Caenorhabditis elegans: one gene and its partners. The protein of the gene in region 1 purifies or fractionates together with the protein of each later gene. This does not show direct contact. Each region holds a gene or a part of one and is shown in the gene's direction. Other genes may lie near its edges. The genes, in order: W06E11.1, let-611 and rpc-2.

Evidence for each region.
Region 2: the proteins of W06E11.1 (region 1) and let-611 fractionate together in Caenorhabditis elegans (co-fractionation; one large-scale study listed by BioGRID). This does not show direct contact.
Region 3: the proteins of W06E11.1 (region 1) and rpc-2 fractionate together in Caenorhabditis elegans (co-fractionation; one large-scale study listed by BioGRID). This does not show direct contact.

What each region holds. Positions count from the first base shown.
Region 1 is NC_003281.10:640,370-646,566, forward strand, and holds W06E11.1 (RNB domain-containing protein), read left to right. Parts: upstream 1-1,689; 5' UTR 1,690-1,702; coding exon 1,703-1,951; intron 1,952-2,140; coding exon 2,141-2,247; intron 2,248-2,949; coding exon 2,950-3,447; intron 3,448-4,098; coding exon 4,099-4,477; intron 4,478-4,941; coding exon 4,942-5,160; 3' UTR 5,161-5,697; downstream 5,698-6,197. Other genes in the region: tag-267 (Major sperm protein), read left to right, coding at 425-490, 546-705, 749-859, 918-1,171.
Region 2 is NC_003279.8:6,253,267-6,258,231, forward strand, and holds let-611 (DNA-directed RNA polymerase III subunit RPC3), read left to right. Parts: upstream 1-1,768; 5' UTR 1,769-1,775; coding exon 1,776-1,838; intron 1,839-1,883; coding exon 1,884-1,976; intron 1,977-2,038; coding exon 2,039-2,160; intron 2,161-2,208; coding exon 2,209-2,492; intron 2,493-2,963; coding exon 2,964-3,283; intron 3,284-3,342; coding exon 3,343-3,487; intron 3,488-3,549; coding exon 3,550-3,761; intron 3,762-3,858; coding exon 3,859-4,254; 3' UTR 4,255-4,354; downstream 4,355-4,965. Other genes in the region: cebp-2 (CCAAT/enhancer-binding protein homolog 2), read left to right, coding at 1-48, 96-212; lpd-2 (LiPid Depleted), read left to right, coding at 435-560, 608-745, 791-1,040, 1,085-1,400, 1,448-1,574.
Region 3 is NC_003281.10:5,555,475-5,563,384, forward strand, and holds the start of rpc-2 (DNA-directed RNA polymerase subunit beta), read left to right. Parts: upstream 1-1,890; coding exon 1,891-2,622; intron 2,623-3,035; coding exon 3,036-3,943; intron 3,944-4,183; coding exon 4,184-4,273; intron 4,274-4,322; coding exon 4,323-4,605; intron 4,606-4,902; coding exon 4,903-5,097; intron 5,098-5,368; coding exon 5,369-5,747; intron 5,748-6,206; coding exon 6,207-6,765; intron 6,766-7,283; coding exon 7,284-7,428; intron 7,429-7,910. Other genes in the region: hach-1 (3-hydroxyisobutyryl-CoA hydrolase, mitochondrial), read left to right, coding at 1-33, 110-502, 555-928, 1,127-1,347, 1,398-1,516.

The sequences.
Region 1 (6,197 bases):
AAAGAAAATCAATAGAAATTGAGAACTCAAGGAGACCACGCTCTCTCTGGGTAAAAGGTTGTTTGCAGAACGCATGTTTCCGAATGTCACAGTATAAACGCGAGGTTTTTTAGTTGAACACCTAGTAAAAGTGTTATAAAATGTAAGATTTTATTAAATGAAAATAAATTATTTACTTTGTAACAAGAAAATCTAAAATTATATGTCATTTACTCGTTGTTCCTCATTTCTCCAATGTGAAATCTCTCAATTTCGTGAAGTCTCTTGTGGTATGCAACGGCGCCCTATCGCACTTTTTTGTGAAACATATTTTTTCCTTTTTTTGCAGATTTTCCAATTTTTTTTCGCTAAACGCATTTATTTTTAATATATTTGTGTTTTATAATTTTAAAAAATCTGAAATTTTGCAAAATTTTCCAGTAAAATGGGCAAAAAACGAAAGCACCAGGACTCGGACTCAGAGCAATCTGGAAAACGGGTAAAAAAAGTGGTAAGAATTGAATTTCTTGATTACAACTTTTTTGGTTTTAATTAAATGTATTAAGGAAGAAGCCAGAAATGGTGTGGCTGACATGACGATCGATGAGAGCTCGGATTTTCAAGTTTTCCTCATCAAAAAACCGATTGGTGTTAGTTTAGAAGATTTGGAGGCGCTAAAATGGTCAAACGACGAGGAAGTGTTGACGAAAACCAAATTGAAGACAGGTGAGAGTATTTTATTGAGAAAAATCTATGAGAAATTTTTCAGAATCCGGAGTTTTCCGAGCTATTGTTGCGCCAAAGTCGAAAAAGGAGCGGATGGTGCATATTCCGGCGTTCAGGGAGCGGGAAGAAGCTGACTCGAAGAATATTAAAGCTCGTAAGCATAGAATTAAGCTTAAAAGTTGATAAAATTACCCAATAACAATTTTTTTCAGAGAGTTTCGTCACTGGCGCCATCACAATTCTCCCGCAAGAGGTGAAGCCCAAGGTACTAGGAGGATTTATTTATGAAGAAGGCGAAGAACCCGTTGAAGGCTCTTCAGAAGTCCATCCAGGCCTGAAAAAGATCAAAAAGACCGCAATTTTGGACCTGGAAAGCCGTCAACAACGTAACAAAGCCTATGGAACCACTACGGAAGGCGATGGAAAACCGAGAAAACTTGCAAATATTATCGAAAAAATGAATTGAAATTTACTTGTTGACACATTTTTTGTTGAATTTATCTTTTTGTTTGTTGATTTTTCGTTTTTTTAGCTAAAAATGTTTTTTTCTTAATTTTTTTCTGGTTTTTTAAATCGATTTTTGGAAGTTTTAACATCTTCTGTTAATATTTATTTGCCACGTGGCATTTATTGATTGAAATTTAACATTTTTCAGTGGTTTTTTGGGAATTTTTGATTGGAAAGACGAGATTTTTGCTGAGTTTTCCGTGAGAGAACTAGAAAAATCGCAAAAAAAGTCAGAATCTCACAAAAATTGTGTCTAAAAATTCTCCAAAAATATTAGTAAACTAAAATTAAAATTTTCTACAAAAATCCTTATTAATTACACAAAAAATTGCATTTTAGCTTTTATTTTTCCAAATTTTTCGGGAAAATTTGTGTTCTTCTAGGTAAAAATGGGGTTTTTCAACAAAACTAAGGAAAAACAAACGATTTTTAAATATATAATTCGTATAAACCGTCCAAATCGCTCAAATTTTTCAGGATCTCATACTAAATGGAAGTAGACGGTGCTTCTGACGACGAACAAGAGCAAATTATTCGAAAACTTGTCAAAAAACCGGAATTTCTATCAGATGAAGAGGATGATTCAGTTGAAGATCAAGTCGTTTGGGAATGCGACGTAGTTGTGTGCAATTCCACACCAAATACTGAAATGTTCTCTGTTTCGTATCCTTCGAGCAAACGAGACGCCTGGGATGCAAAGCGATTTCCAATTGCCAGATATAAGAAGAATGTTCGATTGGTACGGAAAAACACTTGAAATTGGCTTGAATTCATTGAAAATCGGAAAATAGGACACTAGAATTATTGAACAAATTGAACAAATCCTGTCAAACGTTTAGAGAAATGCCCAAAAACATCTGAAAAAGTAGCCGTTTTTTTCACAATTTAATCAATTTTAGATCGAATTTTCAATGTCACTGATTTTCAGCTAGAAATGCGCTTCATGACAGACACCCAACTCGGATCATATGACAAAAAGAAGGCAGAACTTATGTATATGGATGGAGATGTCCCGAAAAAAGGACATGGAATTGAGTAGGTTTTACCACAGTTTTTGATGCTGAAAGTATGAAAATACACCTGAAATTTGCTTTGAAAAAAGTAGAAGGTAAAGAATATATTTAGCAGACCTATAGTTGGTCTGCTAAATATTTAGCAGACCAATGAGGTTGGGTCTGCTAAATATTTAGCAGATTAATTTTGGGTCTGCTAAATAATTAGCAGACCAATTTTGGGTCTGCTAAATATTTAGCAGACCCATGGTTGGTCTGCTAAACAATTAGCAGACCAATGAGGCTGGGTCTGCTAAATATTTCGATTAAAATTCGAGGATTTTCAAAGAATTTACAGATTTCTTTCGTTTTTTAAATGAAAAGTTCAATAAAATGCTTTCGGTTTGTAGCAAAAAACGTAGAAAAATCAATTTTTGAGGCTTAATGCGGAGTTTTTTTGAAATTTGGTCTGTTAAATAATTAGCAGACCAAAAGGGTTGGGTCTGCTAAATGTTTCGATTGCTAATCGAGGGTAGGGACAGATTTACAGATTTCTTGCGTTTTTTGAAAAAAAATTGATTTAAAAAATTGCTAATTAATTCGTTACATTTGTTGAAAAAAGAGTAGAAAAATCAATTTTAAGTCAGTGTTTTTTAAAATTTGATCTGCTATCCACTTAGAAGAGCCTAGTTTCGAATTTTCATTCGAAAATTGTGTGTTTTTCACATAATTTCAATTCTTCCAGTGCTCTCCGAGCCAACGATGAGATCTACGAAGGCCGTGCATTCATCCACGATCACCCAATAGTCAATGCAATTGGATTTTTTAAAAACGGCGAATTCTTCATTCATCCGCTGACTGGAGCATTCGAAATGCATCGATCAATTCAAGGGTTGAATAAAAAGAAGAAATCCGACGGAAAATCTGGAAAATCCGATGAAGATTCGTCTGGAGAAGAAGAAGACGTTAAGCCATCCTCCGCCGCAGTTAGAGTCAAATTTTCTCGGCCTGAAACTGAACGACAAAAAAAACGACGAGAAGCATCGGCGTTACATCGAGAGAAAAAGATTGCAAGTGATATGTGGATTCCGATGAAAGTTCATTTGAAAGATGGTGACCCTGTCGCTGAAAAAATTGATGGAATTAGTCAGAATGGACTCCTTTTGGACGATCCTGAAGCTTCACGAATGAGCATTAGAGCTCTTGTTAATAGAGCTATTATTTGTGGTGTTAAGGAGGAATTGTTCGTTTTTTTGTTGTAATTTTGCACAGAAAAATAGTGTGGAAAAACGGAATTTTTCAGTTTTTTTCCACAAAATCCCGAAAAAAATGGCTGAAAACTTGGGAATTTTGGTTTTTTTTTTCAGTTCAGAAATTCAATTCAGAAATAATTTAGAAATTTCCAAAATCTTTTTTCACTAAAAATTCCCAAAATTTAATTTCTTCTGAGAAAAAAAAATTAAAATTCTGTTACTTGACGGAAAACATCAAAAATTCAAAAAGTCTGATTTTCACTTTAAAATATCTCAAAAATATAGTTTTTTTACAGCTGAAAAAGCCTAAAAATTCATATTTTTCCCTTAAAAAAATAAATTTATTTCTTCTAAAACTAAATATCCTGAAATTGGATTGTTTTAATTGAAAATGTTCCTGAAAATTAGTTTTTCTTCTTGTAAATCACAAAACTAGAGGAATTTTTACTTGTTTTGAACGAAAAATCCTGGATTTTAGATTTTTGACATGAAAACGCTAAATTTTTTGTATTTTTAATGTAATTTTCATTAAAACCTCCAAAATGTTTGTATTTTTAGTGTAATTTTCGTTAAAAAGACCAAAAATTTTACATTTCTACTGGAATTTCCACTAGAAACACCCTAAAATTAATGTTTTTCAGAGTAATCGAATCAGGAAAAGAACATATGCTTTCCAAACAACGAATCGATGATCTTCCGGATCCAAACCTTCAATTAAAGGCGCATATGGTGAAATCTCACGTGATGAAGACTTCTGAAATGCGTCGTTTAATCGATCCATCCGCAATGAGCACTGATAAAATGATTGCGAAGCTCAAGGAATGCGCGAGTTTAGTTCAAGGCGTCTGGGTGTTGGATTCGAATTTAATGTTCAAAAATTTGGCGCCGGCGCACTCGAATACGGCGGGAAAGACGGATTTGTATCGGGCAGAGCTTTGGAGAAACGCGCGAGATTTGGCACTTTGCCTGATTGATGGTGGTCATAGAGTCACTCGGCTTACTCTTATGACATGCTTTAAGGTAGAAAAACTCATATTTAAAACTGGAATTCCTGTGGAAACTTCACTTTTCCACTGAACATTTGACTGGAAAAGTTAAGAAAAACTTATTGAAAATTCCTGGAAATCAACCAAATTTCCAGTAAAAAAACAAAATTGAAAAATTCAATTATGAAGTTGTTCCTGATTCTTTACTGAAATTAGGAGGCTTTTTTTTTGCAAATTTTTCATTGGAAAAATGAAGTTAAAATTTCCACATTGGAATTGAATGCTAAATGATCAAAAAAACTTCAATTTTACGCAGAATTTGATTGAAATGTAAATTTTAAAAAAGGGGGAAAAAAATCTAGGAAGCATTTGAATAAATTACGAAGAATTAAATAAAATTTTAATATAAATTTAGCAATTCTCGAAATTTCGAAAAAAAATCAGAGTTCAGAAGATGAATCTACATGAATTCAAAAATTTAAAACATATGTGTTTCAGCTCAGCGAACGGGATTCCGATGAAATTTTGTCGACTTTTGGTGTCAAATGTGAAGCTACCAGATCATGGAGACTTCGCGTCGAACGGGATGCTCAGTTTTTGGAGGATCCGGCTATGAAGAAGCATGTGGTTGAGCAGAAGGCAAAATGGGTTCAGAAATTTAATGAATTGGAGAAGTCGCTGCAGGAATCGCCTGCCAAGTCCCCGAAGAAAAAATGATTTATTTCTTTTTTTTTAGCCTTTTTAGCCTGGAATTTACAGAAAATTTGAATTTTCTTTTGGAAAAAAAATCACTGAAACTAGTCAATTTTCCATTGAAATTTTGAAATTTAGAAAAAATGACAAAAAATATTTTTTCCAATTTTTAACGAAAATTTCAAAAAAAAAATTTCTGAAATTCAAAAAAAATCCTTTAAAAAACCGATTTTTTAATTATTGCCTTCTGAAAAACCTCCCGTCAATATTGAGAATATCTAATAGAATATTGATTTTTACAAATTGGAATTTTTGTCAATTTTTTGGAACAAAAATCAATTCAAAATTTTCAATTTGTAAAAAATTCAATTTTTCACAAAAAAACTCACAAAAATTGTTTTTCTGGAAATTCAAAATTTCTGTAAATTTCGGTCATTTTTCCAAAAACTCAATTTTCCTCTCCCACGTCATTCTATTGTTTCCATCATCACCACCAAATTCTCCACCGATTTTTGTTGATCTTTTGTTGTTGTTTTTCATTTTTCTGTTATTTTGAATAATTTTTATTTCACTACTCCGAGAATTTTAATCCGATTTTCCCCTAAAATAGCCGAATTCCCGAACGGTATCCGAATGATCAATTTCAAATCTTTTTACAAACATTATATTACACTTTTTGCTATTTGCCAACACGTGTTGATTTTTCAGATTATTGCTGTACTTTAGGGGCGGGGCGGGAGAGATCAAAACCCTTTTCTTTCAAATTTAGATCAAGTTTCGGGTTTTATTTCTTGATTTTGATTTTGCTTTCACGAAAAAGAAATCTAAAAATTGCCAACAGAGTGTTTGCTTTTTTCAAAGTTTTCCTTTTTAAAATTGTGATTTTTAGAGCTTATAAATTTAAATATTTCCTAGCGTACTGGTGACGCAATTTTTTCGAAAAAGCCGAAAATTCCATAATTTTTCCCTATTTTCATTGTCAAGAACCCACGAAAAGTGAACAAAAACTTGGAGTTTTAAAGAAACAACCATCAATTGTCAATAGAGCGCGTTTGCTTATA
Region 2 (4,965 bases), on another chromosome or scaffold:
GAAAAAGTAGACGAATTAAAAAAGGAGAACGAAACACTAGAAAGAAAGGTACTTGTTTACTTGATTTTTTAATTTTAATTAATTCCCTCTATCAGGTCGAGCAGCTACAGAAAGAGTTATCATTTCTTAAAGAAATGTTTATGGCATATGCGAAAAACGACGGAAATGATGGACCACCACCACCGCCACCACCATCTTCTTCCGCCGTGTAGATAACAATTTAATCAAAGATTTATCCACCATTTCTGTAAATTTTATACAAATAACTCAATTCACGCATTCCAATAACCAAAGAAAAATAAATTTAGAAAACGCTTTACTTTCTTTTTTAAACTGTTTTTTTTTGTGTGGTACGTTTCCAACAATTTATCTTGAATGATCTTATTAATTAACTTTTTGAATTTGTGTTGTATCAAAAAAAACGTTTCTTTCAGATGACCGAAACGGAGCAAGAAGCGTTTGCTGATTTAGTGGCAGAACTGGAAACTCAAACTGCAGAAGCAGTAAAAGCTTTCAGTAAAGTTTTCGATCGGATGGAGGAAACGAACGATGACAAAGAAGTGAAATGAAAACCTCAAGATTTATTCAAAAACTTTTTTATTTACAGGGGCTTAGTCTTCTGAAGCTGAAAAACTATGAAATGACAGCGTACCTTGGAGAGTTGACTGTCCTTATGTCGAAAATGATGAAAGGAGAGTCAATTACAGTAGAACCATCTGTTAAAAGAGCTTTAAAGCATAGAGTGGTATGTATTTTAGTATTCCAACTGTTCCTAAAAAACTAGTTTCAGTTCATTGAAAAAATGAAACCAGTCGAGGATAAGATGAAACCTCAAATTGAAAAGCTACTAGGCCGGTCAAGCGCCGAGAGTGGAGCATCAAATGGTTCTTCCAAGGGAAATCACAGAGTTCGATTAGACAATATGGACGTTGAAGGAGATGAAGAAGAAGAGGAGGAAGATGAAGATGATGAGGAAGGAAAAGGAGCAAAGGAAGTTAAGAAATATGTGGCACCAAGAATTAGAGCAGTTCGATATGAAGGTATGTTCAAAAATTAGTTTTCCGTAAAGTTATGTTCATTTTAGAAGAAGACGAAGCTCCGAACAAGCAACAAGAAAAGGCAAAACGTCGTGCAATGCAAAGTAGTCTTATTATGGAACTCAAAAATCAATACAGTGATGCTCCGGAAGAAATTCGAGAGATGAGTGAGAAGAAATATCAATATGATCGTGAGAGAGAACGTTATGAGGAGGATAACTTCACCAGAATTCGATTGAATAAGGATCAGAAACGACGAAGCGAACAACTAGGACGTTCGGAAACTCTTGATGATTTGCTCAGTTTTGGAGATTATATGATGAGAGGAGAAGATGGTAGAGCACTTTCCGAAGGAAATAAAAGGTAATCTTTAACTTTTAAAATTGTCCAACATATGATCCATTATTCAGAAAGCGTGCTACATCTTCTGGTGCTGGCGGGGACACAAAACGACACAAAAAATCCCAAAAGGAACGAAAGAAAGCGGCAAAAGGAAAGAAGGAAGGACGAAAAAGGGCTATTCGCAGAAGACAATAATGTTTTTTGTTGCATTTTTATTTGCCAGTTGTTGAATTTTTTGTTAACTTTTTATTTGTTTTGTTTTACTTGTTTTTATTGTATTAGAAACAACACTTAAAAAAAATATTTTCAAAAAACAATTTCCAGAGCGGTTGCAAAGCCAAATATCTGTAAAACTTCCAAGGAAAGCTTTTTTACTAAAAGACCTTCAGATCAAAAATGGGTGGTGGAAAGTATGAGACTCAAATGTGTGTAATTATCATCGAAGATATTTTCGGAAAGGTAAGAATTTAAAAACTTTCTTTTTAAACTTTTTTTGAATTACAGATTGTGGCGAAAGTAATGGAGACGATTCTGAAAGAAAGCTGCCAGTTGTCTACTCTTTTTTATAAACTGAAAGGACAAATTTCAAATACTCTAGTTAGTTATATTGATTTGGAGGATATTGAGTTCACTTGCAGAAAAAATAGATAAATTTTCAGATCAGAAAATCGGTTTCCACATTGATCAACTTTGGTTTTGTTACTTTCCACTTGGACACGAACAATCGAACCACATATGTTGCAGATTCCGACCAAATTCAACATGTCATTTCCTCGCCGAGGTAAAAAGTTGTAAATATATTTTATAGAGCCAAATATATAATTTTCAGAGCTTGCCTCATTGCTAAAACGCTCTACGGACCTGCTGCAGAGTCTATCTGCGTCGAACTTATTTCTCAAGGGCGGCTTACCGTATCCGAGACAATTCGTCGAATTCAAGCGACAGATGAGACGGCCGTGTTCAGTGACATCAAGAAATCTTTCGAAGAACTCGCAGCTGCACATTTTCTCATTCGAGTTCCGTCTGTAGAATCAGAAATTCATGGTTGTCCTCAATTTGTGACCAATTTTGATCCATTTGCAATATCTACTAATATCATGGAAAAGAAAGAAGGTAATGAGAATAAAATAGTATAAAGCAATCTTTAAATTTAGAATGCGGTCTGTATTGTATTGTATTGTATTTATTACGATTGAAATCGTGATCAAAAATAAATAGTGAATAGACATGTAGGAAAATGATTAAATTTATTTCTATCATGCATGATACTTAAATTACTAAATATTGAAATCTAAATTTTTTAAAAATTTGTTTTAATTCGTGTTAAAAAGTGGTTCAAATGAGTTCGCTCTTAGAGAAATCTGAAGCACTATGAAATATAAATATTTCAAACATAATAAAACTGAAAAAAAACATTTGCTTGACAGCATCCAAACAAATTGGTGAAAAATGAGTTTTCACCGGTTTTTGGTTCAAAATATATGATTTTCCGAATTTTTTGAAATGTTTTATTATGATATACATATTCGGGCATTTTAGCACCATAGTAATCTTTTTAAATAAATTCCATATATTTTATTACAGGAACATCCACTAGCGACTCAACTTCAAACAACCGAAAGCGAAAAGCTGATTCAACTCCAGAGGATGGTGATGCAGGTCAATATTGGAGAATCAATTGGATCCGATTCAATGGATATCTTCGCGATGAGCTTATTATTGATTATCTTATTGGAGGTGGTTCAAAAGGTACAATGACAAATTTAAATGTCAAAAAAGAAGAAACCATCGAAGATCCACAAGGAGATAGAACTCAATACATCACACAGAATGTGGCTCATCTTATGTTCAAAATTAACGAAACGAGAGCTAAACCAATGAGTATGGAGAGTATCACAGCCAGTGTAAGCCTACTTTTTGCTTGATTAGTGATTATTAAAAAATGGTTATTATTCCGTTTCAGTTGACCGATTTGCAACGACTTGTTAAAGAAAATGGACTGAACCTTGCCAAGCCAGATATTGAACTCGCTTGCCAGATCCTTGTTGATGAATCGGACGGAATTATCAGAAAACTTGGAGAATCAAATGGAGGTATTTTTATTGTCGGTATGTTTTTTTCTCTCTAAATTCTTTGAAGATTTTCAAATATGAAAGTTAAATTATTTCAGACATTCGTCGCGCTATTCGTCAAATCTGTCGTCATCACTGTGAATCGCTCATCAGAGAACAGTTCGAAGGACGTGCAATTCGAGTTATGAGACTTCTTGAAAATCGTCATTATCTGGATGAAGAACAAGTAGAGAAGTTGAGCATGATGAGTGGAAAAGAAGCAAGAGAAATGTTATACGCATTAGTTGAAGAAGGATATGTGTTCAATAAGGTAATTTTCGGTTGAATTATTCTACTTTAATTTACTGAATAGTTGGTATAACACGAATTCAAAAATTATTGTACTTCAACATATTGAAATATTTCAGCCTGTCGGTCGTAGCAACGATTTCCAACCCGCTCGCACATTCTATCTCTACTATGTAGATCTACCTCGTACTATTCGTGGTCTCGTAGAGTACACTTGCAAATTGGTCCGAAACCTTATTGTTCGTCAACGACATGAACGAACTGAAAATAAATCGGTGCTCGACAAGGATGCGAATGTTCAACCAATTATTGAAAACATTCGCTCTTCTGAGCAACTCGATGAAGCTTCAAAGTTGGCACAAATTGCAGAAGTTGAAGAAATGTACCTTCCTGGTCCAGATCGTGCACAATTGAATCGCTTCCGTAAAGCTCAGGCTACTTTGCTGGCTGCTCAGGATCAATCAATTCGAGTTTTGCTCTCTTTCAAATTGTTCTTGGCTTCAGGGGAAAACTAAAATTTGTTACTTCGTTGTTTTTTTAAAATTTATCCGAGTTGTTATGTTATCTGATTTTGTCATATTATCATTGTTAAAAAAAATGAACGTTTTTCAGTTATTTGGTTTTCCGTTTTTGTTGCTTCTACCTTCAATTCCATCACTTTGATAACTTTTTCTTTGTCCTTTGTTCTGTTCATTCTCTTTCAATTCCACATAAATATAAATATAAATAAGCATTTGTTACACCATTCGTTACACTTTCTTCCCTTTCATCCACCACTTTTTTGTGGTTTTTTCTCTTTTTATTCTCATCTGAATGATTCATTCGTTCGTGATGTGTTCCTGTAAAGATTGGCTTCATCACTAAACATGAGAATTGATGAAAGAGTCTATTTCAACAAACTTAGCAAATTGAATATTTATTATGAATACCCCGAAGAGAAATGTTTTTATTGAAACCTGAAACAGGAAATTTTTTCTGTCTTTCTGTTCATTCTGCTTCACACCGTTCAATATTCGATAGTAAGCATAAAAGTTTTAATGATATTGTATTCATGACTATGTGAAACATAACTTTAAAGGCGCAAGTCATTGTATTTGGCTGGTTCCACCACGACTTCTAATCTAACTAACGAAACCGTAGATCTGACAAAAAAATTCAAATTTATTTTCTAAGAAAAATTCTAAATAAATGGCTTAAAACCAAGTCATTTATTTAGAATTTTGAGA
Region 3 (7,910 bases), 4.9 Mb from region 1:
TTGCCCGCACTCTTCCGCGGACTTCATTCGAAGGTTTCATTTTTCACAAATTTTGACTAACATTTTATTTTTCTATCAAATTTTCTGTTCTAAACTCAGAAATTTCCAGGAAGTCTGCCAGAAGATGTCGTTCTCCGTGAGCGCCGCCGCCAAGTCGGAAATCCTTGTCGACACACACGGATCGAAGAAGGTGGTTACATTGAATAGGCCTAAAGCGCTAAACGCGTTGAACCTCGAAATGGTACGAGAGTTTTATCCCAAACTTCAAGCCTGGAATTCATCTTCCGATGTGGATCTTGTCATTTTGAAAGGATCCGGTGATAAGGCGTTCTGTGCTGGAGGAGATGTTCTTGCCGTTGTGCGATCTTTCAAAGATTCGGAGAGTGGAAAAGAGTGCACAATGCACAAGGATTTCTTCCGCGAGGAGTACATTTTAAATCATTTAATTGGAACTTTGAATAAGCAATACGTTTGTCTGATTGATGGAATTGTGATGGGAGGAGTAAGTTATCTGCAACTATTTTCTTTTCAATTTTTTAAAAAACTTGTTTCAGGGTTGTGGTCTTTCTGTAAATGGACGTTTCCGAGTTGCCACTGAGAAAACAATGCTAGCAATGCCAGAAACCGCACTTGGACTCTTCCCAGACGTCGGTGGATCCTATTTCCTTTCAAGGCTCAAGGGAAACCTCGGAATGTACTTGGCACTCACTGGATATCGTCTTCTAGGTGCTGACGCTTTCCATGCTGGTCTTGCCACTCATTTTGTGGAGTCTTCGGAACTTGCGAAATTGGAAAAGGAACTTGTGAATATTAAGGATGTGACAGAGAACTCTGTCGATGAAGTCATCAGATCGTTCGAGCCAAAGAAGATTCCAGAATTCAGTCTGTCCAAGAATTTGGCTCAAATTAGAGATTCCTTCAAAGCAAAGTAAGATATTTTGTCACCAAGATCACGTGTATTTGAGTTGGAACAAATTAAAAAGTAGCATTTCATCGAATTGATTTATTATTGTTTCTCAGATAATATTAGTTTTAAGCAAAAACTAGGAAAGGGCCAGTTTTGAGGATTCGATAGCACACAAAAAATTACATTTGCCTAAGATATATAAAATAATTGATTTTTCAGAAGCGTCGAAGAAATCCTCGCAAGCCTCGAAAAAGACGGATCCGACTGGGCAAAGAAGCAAGCAGCCACTCTAGGAAAAATGAGCCCAACTTCCCTGAAAGTAACTCACCGACAAATCACCGAAGGAAGCAAGATGAGCTATGCAAAGATCTTCACAATGGAGTATCGTCTCACTCAACGATTCCTCGCCGATAAGGATTTCCATGAAGGGTGCCGAGCCAGTGAGCAGAGATTTTGTAGGGTTTCATTGAAAATTTGACTCATTTTTCAGTTCTCGTTGACAAGGATCGCAAGCCAAAGTGGAATCCAGCGACGTTGGCTGATGTGAAGGATTCTGTCGTCGATAACTATTTCTCGCCATTGCCAAATAATTCTGATTTAAAATTGTAGAGGCCAGAATTAGCGGAAAATTGAATTTTTAATGGAAAGCTAAAAAATCAGGGAAACCCATAATTTTTATCGGATTTCCTCGTTTTCCTATCTTTTCACCCAAAATGTTGATTTTCCCCCATAATTTTTACCATTTTAATAGGAACCCCTTATGTATTTATTTTTAGAAAAATGTCTAGCTATAATTTAATTTTTCCGGGTGTACAAATAATTTCCGTGCCTTTTTCAGCTATTCGCCGTATGAATATAAAGTTTTTTTTTGTTTTTGAATTTTATTTCCAGATTTCTATTGCAAACTGTTATTTTCTGTTTTTGTACCTCTTTTTCAAATAATTTTTATTCTAGAATTTCAGATTTTCAATACCAATTTTCAGATGACAATTGGCCAAGTGAACGGCCGCGCTCGCATAAAATCCGAGTGCGGCAAGGATCAGAAATGCATGCCACTCGAGGACAAATGGCTTCTCGTTCCCGCGTTTTTGAAAGTTCGAGGACTCGTCAAACAGCATCTCGTCAGTTTCGATCATTTCGTGCAGGAGGAGATCCGAAGTATCATGCTCTCCAATCAGAAGATCACTTCCGATGCAAATCCAAACTTTTATCTCAAATATTTGGATATTCGAATCGGAAAACCCAGCAGTGAGGAGGGTCTCAACATGACTCACGATAAGATTACCCCTCAAGAATGTCGACTACGAGATATGACCTACTCGGCGCCAATTTCAGTGGATATTGAGTACACACGTGGTAATCAAAGAGTATTCAAGAAGGATCTGATCATTGGTCGAATGCCGATTATGCTTCGTTCGAGTAAATGTATTCTCAGAGATCTTGCCGAAGAAGAGCTTGCAAGAGTTCAAGAATGCCCATATGATCCAGGAGGTTATTTTGTGGTCAAAGGAAGTGAAAAGGTTATCCTGATTCAAGAACAACTCTCCAAAAATCGTATTATGGTTGGAAGAAATTCAAGTAAAGAACTGCAGTGTGAAGTACTTTCGTCGACGTCCGAGAGGAAAAGTAAGACATATGTGACTATGAAGAAGGGTAAATATTCTGTTCGCCACAATCAGCTCACCGATGATGTACCAGTTTCCATCATTTTCAAGGTAAATTTTGAGAATTTTGATGACAACTGAAAAAAAAAATGTTCGGCATTCATTCCTAAATATTTTATTTAAAAAAAAAAACATCCAATACAAAAACATTCTCCGAAAAATATTTTTCCAAATTTTGATGCAAAAAATATTCTCAAAAAATGTTTTAGAATAAAAAATAATGAAGCTTTCTTTCTTTCTGATTGTGAGAAACTGAACATTTTACGATATTTTCAATCGAAATTCCTCAAAAACATTTATTATCGAATCTGGAGTTTTTCAGATTTTTTTTTCCAAAATTCGAGTTCGCTTTTTTTAATTCAAGAAAATTATTACAAAAAATAGGGAAAATTTTAAAAAAAGTGTAGCATTATGTTAAAACAAAAACTAAAAACCGCTTCCTTTTCAAAGTTTCAATTTTCCAGGCGATGGGAGTCGAATCAGATTTTGACATTGTGAGTACAATCGGTCACGAGGAGAAGTACGTTTCAGCATTTGCTCAAACTCTCGAAGAATCCATAAATGCCGGAGTTTATACCCAACAGCAGGCACTCGCATATGTTACCTCAAAAGTCAAGGCTCGTAAATTCACACCATTCGGATCACTTCCAGGAACTTCAGTGAGCGTCTTGACTCCACCGAAAGAACACGAAGCAGTCGATTTTCTGTCCAATTCAATGATCACACATATTGCTTGCCCAGATGGAAATTTCAAAATGAAGGCGATTTATTTGGGATTAATGACAAGACGACTGATTCAAACGGAACTCGGAGAAAATGGGCTTGATGATCGGGATTTCTACGGAAATAAACGTTTGGAGCTCGCTGGATCATTGCTTTCGTTGCTGTTTGAGGATGTATTCAAAAGATTCAACTCTGAACTGAAAAGAATTGCAGACAATGCGTTGATGAAGACAATGGCTGCACCATTGGATATTGTGAAGCATATGAGACAAGATATGATTACGAATACTATAGTGAATGCTATGTCGACAGGAAATTGGATTATCAAAAGATTCCGAATGGAACGACTTGGTGTTACACAAGTACTAAGTAGATTGTCATATATCTCAGCACTTGGTATGATGACAAGAATCAACTCGACTTTTGAGAAAACTCGAAAAGTCTCTGGTCCTCGATCCCTTCAACCATCTCAATGGGGAATGCTTTGTCCGAGTGATACTCCTGAAGGTGAAGCTTGTGGTCTTGTGAAGAATCTCGCTTTGATTAGTCACATTACAACTGATTCCGATGAGAAACCCGTTCTCAGATTGTTACTCAATTCGGGAGTCGAGGATTTACATAATGTGCATTTCTCGCATGTCAATAAGCCGTGAGTTTTTACAAATTAAAATTTTAAGTGTGAAATCTTGAAAAATAAAAGTTTTGAGAATGCTAGTTTTGAAAAAATCGCATATTTTAATCAATTTTTATAAATTTCTAAAATAAATTATCAATTTCATAAAAATTAGATTTCAAATCGAGTTAAGGTTTGACAATTTTTGAAAATTACTAGATCCATTTTTTTGTGTTTTTTCCTAAAAAAAAGGTTATTTTTATCGAAAATTTTCAGTGAAAACACGTTGATCTTCTTAAACGGAGTGCTCATTGGAACAGCTGTGGATCCAGAAAGAGTGGTGAAAGCCGTCAGAGATTTGAGAAGGTTTCAACAAAAAAATGTTGCCAAAAAATTCATCGAATTTCAATTTCAGAAGTGGACTCCTGTCAGAATTTGTTTCAGTATCCCGTTCTCTAACCAATCGTTCTGTTTTCATTTCATCAGACGGTGGCCGCCTGTGTCGACCATATATTATTGTCAAAAACGGAACTCCAATGCTCACACAGGCTCACGTGCAGGAACTGAAAGAGGGAAAAATGATTTTTGAGGATTTTGTTGATGACGGAATTGTCGAATATTTGGATGTAAATGAGATGAACGATGCGTTGATTGCCGTTTATGGGAGAGAAATTGGCCCAGAAACTACACATTTGGAGGTACGTTTTTGAACTTTGTGAATCTAAAAATGAAAAAAATTAAATCGAAAACTGGTTGTTCTTTCCTGTAAAGAAAATTCAAAAAATTTGGTAAAATTTGTCTGAAACTTAAAACTATGTGAAAAAAGTTTAAATTCTCATTTTTTTAAATATAAAAAATTGAAAATCAAATTATTTAGAGCTCTAAAATTCTATAATTCAAGGAAATTCCAACATTTAAAGATTTTTATCCTTAGTTTAAAATAAAATTTGCACTTTTCAGTGTCTGAGCTATTAATAATCTTTCAAAATTTCCAGATTGAGCCATTTACTCTTCTTGGAGTGTGTGCTGGTCTTATTCCATATCCACATCATAATCAATCTCCACGTAATACTTATCAATGTGCTATGGGTAAACAAGCAATGGGAACAATTGCCTATAATCAACAGAAAAGAATTGATTCAATTATGTATCTTTTATGTTATCCACAGAGACCACTCGTTAAGTCAAAGGTTCGTTAAAATTGAAATATTTTAAAATTTATGAAAAAAATTTGATTAAAAAATGCATGTTTCATTTATTGAACTAATGTTTGTGGAGAGATATCGTTAATAATCCTGAAAATAAAAATAAATCAATTTCCTGAATTCCGAAAAATAAAAAAATCAAATCGGAAGTATCCGCTATATCTTTCTAATCAATTATTCTATTCAGAAATTTTTAATTTGTTTTTCTTTTAGAAAATTATCAATTGTTCAAACTTTTTACATCACAATTTTCCAGACAATCGAACTGACAAACTTTGAAAAACTGCCGGCCGGCGCGAATGGAATCATCGCAGTGATGTCATACAGTGGTTACGATATCGAAGATGCTCTTGTGCTCAATAAAGCTTCACTGGATCGTGGTTATGGTCGTTGTCTGGTCTACAAACATGTGAAGGGAACCGCCAAAAAATATCCGAATCAGACATTCGATCGTCTTCTAGGACCAGCATTGGATCCGAACACGAGAAAACCAATTTTCAAGCACAAAAATCTCGATCAAGAGGGTATTGTATTCGCCGGAGCACGTATTATGCCGAAACAGACGATTATCAATAAGCACATGCCAGTTGTCAGTGGAGAAAGTGGTCCTGGAGCGTCGGCTTCTGCCAATACAAGTATGTTGAAATGAGCATGACGAATTTGTATAAGGAAAATAAAAACGGAATGTACAGTTTCGAGAAGACATCTATTTTTTTAAAAGTTTTACGAAAAAAAACACGAAAAATATAAAAAAAAAAGAATAATAAACAATTCCCAGACCAACCTCGTAAAAATGAAAGCGAGTTTTCAACAGAAACCCTGTTTTAAAACTTTTTCCAAAAAATCTGAAGTATTTATAGCATTTTTTAATTTTTACCAATTAAACAAATGTTTTAAAAAAAAACTCAAAGAAACTGTCTCCGTTCTTTTTTGCGAATATAAATTTTCTAACTTTTTTACGTTCACAATTAAATAAAACTTGACATTTATTCCGTTCAAATATTCAATTAATTTAATTTAAAACGAAAATTTAAATATAAAACTCTGAAAAAGTAAAAAAAAAAACGTTCACTAACAATTCTTTAAATTTTCAGTCGGAATCGCTGGACGCCAAGTTGACTACAAAGACGTCTCGATCACGTATAAAACTCCAACTCCATCATATGCGGAACGAGTTCTTCTTACCTATAATGAAGATGAAGCTCATTTATTCAAAGTTCTTCTTCGACAAACCCGTCGGCCAGAACTTGGAGATAAATTCTCATCTCGACACGGACAAAAAGGAGTATGCGGATTGATTGCTCAACAGGAAGATATGCCATTTAATGATCTTGGAATGGTGCCAGATATGATTATGAATCCTCATGGATATCCATCTCGAATGACTGTCGGAAAATTAATGGAATTGTTATCTGGAAAAGCTGGAGTAGTGAATGGAACATATCATTATGGAACAGCATTTGGTGGAGATCAGGTTAAAGATGTCTGTGAAGAATTGGCTGCTTGTGGTTATAATTATATGGGAAAAGATATGCTGACAAGTGGAATTACTGGACAACCATTATCTGCTTATATCTACTTTGGACCAATCTATTATCAGAAGCTCAAGCATATGGTTTTGGATAAGATGCACGCCCGTGCCAGAGGACCGAGGTGTGGAGAGATTTTGAATTTAGATAATGTCTTGTCTGGAAATTCTGAATTTTGGAAAGAATTTTCAATTAAATATTTAAAAATTAAGTTTAGCAACAAAATCTGAAAAAGAAAAATTTTTAGAACAGTTAACTCTGCATTTTCCAACTTTCCTTTAAAACTTTTGATGTAAAACAATGAGGAATTGCAACATTTTTTTAATTAGAAAATTTGGTATCAATCAAAATTCACTTATTTTTATCATGGTTAAAATTTCGAAAAAAGCCAAATTGAAAAAGTTCTGAAAAAGGAATTGACAAAATGCTCGAAGCTTAGGAAATTAGGGGAAAAAAGAATCAATTTTTCATAGTGGAAATACATTTTTTTCAAATCCAATTCGCGGAAATGTTATGCATATTTTGGAACAAAAAAAACCATTTTAATTTTTCTCACATTTTTTAAATTAAAAAAAAAACTTTTTTTAAAAATTTTTTTCAATTTATTCTCAGAGTTTCTTTTAAAAATCTATAAATTTTCAGAGCCGCATTGACTCGCCAGCCAACAGAAGGAAGATCACGAGAAGGAGGTCTACGTCTTGGAGAAATGGAACGTGATTGTCTCATTGCCTATGGAGCATCGATGCTGCTTATTGAGCGTTTGATGGTGTCATCAGATGAGTTTAAGGTAAATTCCCTTACCGAGTTTTTTTTAAAAGTTTGCTACTTTTGTGTGTGTGCGCGCAATTTTTGCTCATCATTACACTAGCCGTAACACTCTCAAGTGGTTCTTTTTTGCGAAAATGAGGAGCGAAACTGTTGCGGGAGAGACTGGGAGAAGCCTTGCGTGGGTTGACTTTGCGGGTCGACTTTTCTTGGAAACTGGGTTGACGTTTTTTGGAAAGGTTCTTGAAAATTTTTGATTTACCGCAGAGAAAATTATGGATTTTGTTTGATCATGAGAGAATACATTTCCCGACTTTTATCTGAAAATATCGAAAAAAAAGGTCGGAAACCGATTATTAATTTTTTTTTGAACTCCCACTTTTTTATAAGAACAGAGAAATCGATTTTAAAAAAAGCATTTTCCCTAAAAACTTTTTAAAAAAAGCAAAACTTTCTATTTTAATGGCTCTGAATCTCTGTTGCTCGGAAGTTAAAAAAAATCAA